Oreochromis niloticus: one gene and its partner. The protein of the gene in region 1 interacts with the protein of each later gene in a pairwise test. Links are inferred from orthologs where the notes say so. Each region holds a gene or a part of one and is shown on either strand. Other genes may lie near its edges.

The links. The genes of interacting proteins can lie anywhere in the genome.
Region 2: the proteins of efemp2a (region 1) and nufip2 interact in binary tests that used the Homo sapiens proteins (3 or more experiments, as listed by UniProt). The two-hybrid records come from large-scale screens. The link is inferred for Oreochromis niloticus from reciprocal best matches to the Homo sapiens genes EFEMP2 and NUFIP2.

Annotation. Positions count from the first base shown.
Region 1 is NC_031966.2:20,257,941-20,261,691, forward strand, and holds the start of efemp2a (EGF-containing fibulin-like extracellular matrix protein 2a), read right to left. Parts: upstream 2,716-3,751; 5' UTR 2,515-2,715; intron 1-2,514. UniProt on the Homo sapiens protein: Plays a crucial role in elastic fiber formation in tissue, and in the formation of ultrastructural connections between elastic laminae and smooth muscle cells in the aorta, therefore participates in terminal differentiation and maturation of smooth muscle cell (SMC) and in the mechanical properties and wall integrity maintenance of the aorta.
Region 2 is NC_031975.2:7,236,453-7,240,203, reverse strand, and holds the start of nufip2 (nuclear fragile X mental retardation-interacting protein 2), read right to left. Parts: upstream 2,248-3,751; 5' UTR 1,949-2,247; coding exon 1,801-1,948; intron 1,578-1,800; exon of another isoform or gene 211-1,577; intron 204-210; coding exon 1-203. UniProt on the Homo sapiens protein: Binds RNA.

The DNA.
Region 1 (3,751 bases):
CTTTTATTTTACCTTCCTTACACTTTCTCCTTTTTTTCATTTTATAGCTTAACGTTGACGGTTACTTTAGCACCTCTTGCAGGCTTTTCCTATAGTAGAATATTTTTTGACACTGCTATATTGCTATTTTTACTTTAATACAGTGTTCTGTACCATGTAGTGTATTTTTAAGGTAAATATATATTGCATGGTTCGGTATTGATGGATTGGGCCTCTCTGGCAGCAATGACACAACCATCCTTCAGTTAATGTTCCTGAAAGAAGCTATAAGTGTTTAAGCTGAGCCTAAACATAAACAAGTTGCCCGTTCCATCTCCGCCAGACCGAAAAGACAGGAAAATTAAACAGACAAATTGAAGTAATAAAAAAATCCTAAGCAAGTGTTGTTTGCAAAGTGAGTGAGCTCCAGTTAAAATACAGGGAGGAAGGTTATAATCACTGCCTGTCTACGTGCATACACTCACGCTCTGATATAAACTCCCGAGGCCACATTTGCAGGCATTGCTTATTGTTTTATTTCAGGCTGAGACAAACAGAAGGCCGCAGGGTGACTTGGACACCCTGAAATACTCGAGGAATGACATCACCGTGACCTTTGAGTGGTGAAAAGCAGCAAAATATGCTCTCACACTGTAAGCTCAGACGGTAGCGCATACCACCGCGCAATCAGACGGCCGCAGTGCGTGATCTCTCTGAATTGGCCCAACAGTGACTTACAACCAGCAAGAATTTGACCCGAAACCACCCAAAAACAAACTGACCATCAGCCTGGGGTCCAGTCACTCACTGGCTACTCAGTGTGGGCAGCAAGGATGCATGGGTGTTTCCCTCCTGCTGCTGGAGATCAAGTGGCGGCGGACCTCTGGAATGCCCGTGGCAAGGATGTGGGCACCAGTTCTCAGCTGGGATGCCCTGCCACTGCAGTGGTTCCCAGAGTATCAGGTTCTGGGAAACCCCCCACAGTTCACATAAGAGGACAGCTGGTGCCAGACCTCCGGCCACCTCTTCCCTAACCTCCCATCCCTTTGGAGGATGTGTAGGAGGATGTCAGAGAATGCGGCTCTGATACAGAACTTCATTGTCTGCGTTCGACCACCACTGACAGGGAAAATACACCATTTGAATAACTGATGAGTCAATCCATAGAAAATGAATCAGGAGGCATTTTCATGACTCGCTTTCCAGCAAAAATGTGAAAGCAACTACACAAATATGCAGTTTCCCCTGCTTTTTTCTGTCAATACGAAAGTAACCCAAATATTCAGCAGGATATGATTATTAGTGAGGCAAAATGAGACATCTGAAGACGTCATCTTGGACTCTGGGAACTTGTGGTGGGCTTCTCTTTTATACAAGTGTACCATTTACTACCCCACAAAAATAAAAAATACAAAAAAGTAAATCATCGATACTTTATGAAGGCGCAATCTTAGTTTCATTTGGAGCTTGGCTCAGCTTCAGGACTGCTGGTTGACCCATTTTTAAATTCACACATTCAGAACAGCTTAACAAGCAAAATGTCAGGCGGCTTATATCAGTGACCACATGGAAACCAAAAAAAGACCAACAGCTGGACCACACACACACACACACACACAGTTTAGACTCCAGGATGGTCACTTGTTGTAGTGTATACACAAAGTTTGCGTCGCTGTGCTCGGCTGTGCGTGGAGCAGCCTGAGAACACGGTGACCCAGCGCGCTCCACCAGCTGCGCTCTGTTACAGTTGTGGCAGTGAACCTGCAAATCCACAACCAGGGAGTCTCCATCTCACACTCGGCCTGACTTCTGTTCCGGGAAGCTCCACAGGTAAAGACAGAAATAACGCCCTGTAGGAGAAACTCACTCACAAGGTAAAACATGTTCCTCCTGAACTCTAACGTGTGATGCTTTTGTGTTAGAGTTCAGAAAACTTTGACATGCTTGCTTTTTTCTAATCCCCACCTTAAAGTGGAAACATCTGCTTTTACCTGCAGGAAATTGATTGCACAAAAAGTGAAACAGCAGTTGTGCACTGTGAGGTCATCCAGGTTTAGAGAACTCTTCTACATGTTGGCACCTGTTTGTGTTTCAGATTTTGAGCTTCCCCCACCTAGAGACTAAACTGAGCTTGTGACACTGACGTTAAACGTTGTACAAGAGGGATGAGGCGGAAGGATTTTGCAATATTACAGTACGATAATATGTGCCCTGTGACTCACTGCCTCTCTTCCTGTCTAACCCCATATTACAGTCAGAGCCAAGAAGTAAACTACTCAGACAGAGTTAGCCACGTTATCTTGGCTCTCATAAGGAGCCAAGTGCAGCTGGGAGAGCAGAGCAGAGAGCAGGGCAGTGGTGCAAGTGTGACGTGTATGGCCTGTACTAGAAAAAGTGGGTAAGAGGTACATCTCACCTCCCTTACTTCTCCCTAAAATGCTAGCAAAACATAGTAAGTCATCCAGCAAGTCTCTCTTTAACAAACAGACATTCTTAGATATGTGTAAGAGGCTAAAGAAACACAGGAAAACTCACAGAGGAATCTTCTGTCTCTCAGTCTCCGTCTGACCAGTGTGTCCTCCTGCTGGCTGCGGTCGTCCCAGCCGAGTTGGCGTACAGAAGTGGTCCCTTAAACTCCTGCCTGTATGACCCTGAGAGAGAGAGTGAGTGGGGAGACCGACAGCTGGAGCAGCTGAGCACATGGAAAGGGAGGGAGAGAGAGAGAGCGAGTGAGCAAGACAGGCAGAGGCAAGAGAGAGAGAGAGAGAAAGGGAGGAGAGAGGAACAGCCCCCTTACCCCCCTCTGGCCCCCTGCACTGCCATCCTCCACTCCCCAAACCCCCTCTCCCTGACCCCCCAGGATGCAAATTCCTGGTCTGCGGCCCAAATACCGAAATTCCAAATCCGTCCAAATCGCAGGCACAACTCACAGATTCACACACACACATGCCCCCACATCTTTTCACCCTCTCACTGGTCCCACAACACACCTGGTTTCATTTAAACCAAACCCCTGCAAAATCCCCAAGCTCTCCCACCCATTCTTCCCTCCCTTTTCCCATTTACCCCCCATCTATCTATACTTACCTCCCCCATCTCTCACTCCCCTTTTTTCTTTTCCATAAAGCCACTAAAGCCTTCGCTCTCGTCCAATCTGACATGCAGGGATATTTATAGCCAGAGAGAGAGAAGTTAATGGAATGCGGACAAAAATTAGAGAGTGGAAGAGAGCGACAGACTGTGTGTGTGTGTGTGTGTACGTGTTTGGAAAATTTTTATTTTACAGAATGAACCAGCGGTGCTTTCTGGGACAAAGGACAGAAAATAAAGAAGTATCATAAGTCTTGACCCACGCAGCAACTCTTGCTCTTCTCGTGTTTGTGCGTGACTAATGCGTTACTGCGCTTGGAATCATTTCCAGCAGCATGTTGTCTTGCAAAATTTGTAGTCTGTGATGATGCAAACGGGTTAAGATGTTGCTTAACTCACATTAATACTCATTAGTTTCAGGCTCATTCAAATCTAATGGGCACAAATTCAGACTATCCTCAAAATGGGATCAACAGCAGCGGCAGCGCTAGTCTTAATTTTCCTTAAAAATATCTCATCACTTGCAGAATAGCTCCCTGCATTTTATTTTTAGACGGGAGGCGGTTTCTCCAGCTACCCTCCAGTGTTTGGTTTAAAACCCTTCACTCGGCCTCAGCTTATTTGTCTGCCTTTTGTTTTTGTCGGGTGGCAGAGATGGCAGCTGTCACTACAGGGGATGTTG
Region 2 (3,751 bases), on another chromosome or scaffold:
GTCCATACTCTTCTTATGGTCCAGTCCTTTGATGCTTATTTTTGGAACAGTCGTGCACAGCTTTTGCGTGGATTTGGGCTTTGCATTTGTATTAATTGTATGTCTGTTAGCATTGATGCTAGGTGGATGCGACATGCCAACGGCATTAGACAGATGTGGATTCTTCTCTCCCTCCTCGTCACTGATGCTTACTTTTTTATTGCCTGAAAGGGGAAATAAAATCAGTTGATACTGAAATTAGGGAACATCCACCACCCTTCACCTGGCAGAAAACCTCCACAAGTACTACATTTACAGAAAGTCTGTGTCAAATAATCTGTTTCAAACTTGGAGAAACTACAAGGATTTTATAGATTTTTTGTGTGTGCGTGCACGCATGCTATCGCAATAGCAAAAAAGTGACTCACATGTATGCAACTCTTAACCTAAACAAATCCAAGTAAAAAAAGATGCATATTAAACTTTTAAATGTTTCTCTAGTATTACATGTAAACCACACCCATGGAGAACATGACTGATCTCCTTATTGGGTTTATAATTATTCTTATAGTGCTGCCTGAAATTAAACTTCCTAACAATCTTCCAAGATAAGCTGAGAGCTCACTACATGTAACAAGTTATAGAAATTAGATATGCTTCACAACTGTCAACAACGTAAAGGACTCTTGCTTAGCTTCCCCCACCCCAGAGAATATTCGACATCAGACACAAGTTGTTGCAAGGTCTGCAAGGATCGCTCACAACAGCATTTATGGCACACGCACAGAGGAGCAATAAACTATTAACAGGCCCGTGCACTGCACAGACGCATGGGAATTGCTGTGTCAACGTAGGACTTTTCATTCACAGTGGTGCTGCCTCAATGTCTGTGAGCGCAGCACCCAATGGATTCTATACGGTCTCTCCTCTCTTAGACGGAGGCCGGTTCTTACTCACTAGCAATCATACGAATGCATATAGTCTCGTAAAGACGATGCTTACAGTGTCAGCTCAGCGCCACAAAACAAGACATTGTCCAGTTGTTGCCTGGCTTCACAACACGCAACAGGCCTGTCAGTGATGGCTAGCTTTAGCTAATGTCAACTAACCAGCGGCTCGGTTGCCACCAACACGCCCAGGAACTGTCGTGCCCTATCAGCACCAACAACAACAACCACAGCAGCCAAAATGACAGCAGAGACATGCCAAAACAGCAAAGTATGTTGCCTGTACAACAATTTCTAACTAGCTGTGGAACTACAGCATTAGCCAGCAGTGATAGTCTAACATGGCTGACAGGAAATGGCAGCTCAGAACATTCCAGTGGAGCCGGCTCGGTTTTCCTAAGCTGGACATGAGCATGCCGAACAAAAAGACACAGCTTTGACTATTGTTGAGGATAACTTGCCGTGCACGCCTATCAAATAATGCGCTAAGAACACATGGCAACATGGCAGGGGTTCCTTGAGATGATTACGATGCATTTGCAAAAGAAAAATGGTTGGCGAAACCGGCGCACAAGGTCAATCCCCGATGTGTCAAACAACCACAGCGACAACTGTCACGCAACGTCAGCTAGCGAACTTGCTAACATAACGGTGAGCTCCTCGTCCGGCTATCCGTCAAAAAGGGCCAAGCTTTTCACCAGCTGAAACATTTACCAAATTATCTCAAGGAACCATATATAATATGAACCAATAGCTAGCAGGCTAAGTCCTCAATTGCGATTTAGTTCACATTAGTTAGCAAAAGCTAGTCAGCTCACTGACATTAGCTGACCAAGGCTAGCAAGCATTAGCTAACTTTTCGGGATGGCCCAACCTGTTTTCTTCGTCTGCGTTTCCTGATGCTGGCACTGGAAGTGGCTCTGATCATTTTTTAGACAAGTTGGCTGCTGAAAAGAGTGCCTGTCGTCTCCGTGGTGATGGTATTGCCTGTCTTGTGCCCGGTCTTTGGGCTGTTCCTCCATTGAAGTGAAGAATGTCGGACTTGTTCAACCAGTATGTTAGCTCACTCAAGTACAGGACAGTCCAATCACTACCAGAGTAAAACGGAAGCTATTTGAAGCCTCTGTAAACGTCAGCAGTAAACGTCTAAAAATGGCTCTGTTTTGGGTGGTCACCGCCACCACTCAAATCCATGTCTAGTTATTTGTGCTGAGTTATGCAGGGGAATATTTCTCAGCACTTTTTTTTCTGTCAGTGCTTGTATTTAATCGGATAACTGACAGAAGAATAACGAAGGAGCGATATTAAAACAAATCTTTTGGGGTGGGCGATACCGGGGTGGGGTTCGTGTGCGAACAAAAATCACATGACCGGAGGCGCTGCCACGTCTCAAGCCAGTGGACACATGTTGGTGATGGCGAGACCAACCCCTCTCCCAAAATGGAAAAAACAGACTCATTGCAAATTTATTAGCAATGCATTTGTGAGTGTTTAATCAGTACAGAACATTGTTCCTGTTTTCTGAACAAGCAACAAAATTACTCTAATAATCCTTGCGTATGCACAGAAATAAATAATATCAATTGGGTAGTTGGTGCAACGAAGCACGAAGTCAATGTATACTAGGGTTAGAAAAAGTAACATCCATTTAGTGCTTCCCATATTTGGCCCCTTATACATACGCGCGCGCGCACACACACACACACATATACAATTATATATCTATATCTATCTATCTATCTATCTATCTATCTATCTATATATATGTATATTCTGGTACATTTAAATCTGCTATTTGCTATTAAAGTGTAGAGAAACCGATTTGCTTCCCTGTTACTATATGTGCATATAACATATAAGCTAATTCATTATTCATTCTCGACTGACACACAGTGTAAAAAAGGTTTATGTGCTTTACTTTTGTGCACACTGGGGTCGGCACGGTGCAACATTGCTTATGCAGGACTTTAACGGACCAACAGCACCCTCTTGTGACTAAAAAAATACAAAGCCGTAGAGACTGTTTTGTTGGGGAAGTGAAGAACATTGATCATCTTCTTAGAGTGCAATGTTCTACTGTGAAACCGTGAGTCGTTAAATTGGCTTGCGCATTATTTTTCAGGCCCTTGTCACAATGCTGAGCCCCAACATACCTAAAAAATAATATAGCAGGAATAGTGACACTGTAAGAGTGTGAATATTATTTGGTATTTACTAGGTATTTTGCATAGTGTTGCAAAATCCTTTACCTCTGAATCTAATTTTGGGATTTAAAATCTTACTTAAAAAGTAGCATCAGTATGTACTTGAAATACCCAGTGTAAAAACGGGCCTTTTCTGTGATAATACACATTATTGAGTCATAGTTACTTATTAATCAGTGTGTATATTGTTTTTACTTAATATACTTCTGGGTAGCTAATTCTTTAACAACATAGCATCATATGTGTTTTATATTAATATGTGTGCTTTAAACAATTAGAGTACAAACACTAAAATACAGTGTTGTAGAAGAAGTAGCTTTTCATACAATTACATGAGTAATGTAGAAGTGCATACATTAAAATTAAACTTTGGCATAGTATTTGGGTAAATACCCCATAGGACACAATACTGGGCCTAAATAATGTACATTGGGGCGATCGTGGCTCAAAGAGTTGGCAGTTTGTCTTGTAACCGGAAGGTTGCCGGTTCGAGCCCCGGCTTGGACAGTCTCGGTTGTTGTGTCCTTGGGCAAGACACTTCACCTACTGCCTACTAGTGATGGCCAGAGGGGCCGATGGCGCGACATGGCAGTCTCGCTTCTGTCAGCCTGCCCCAGGACA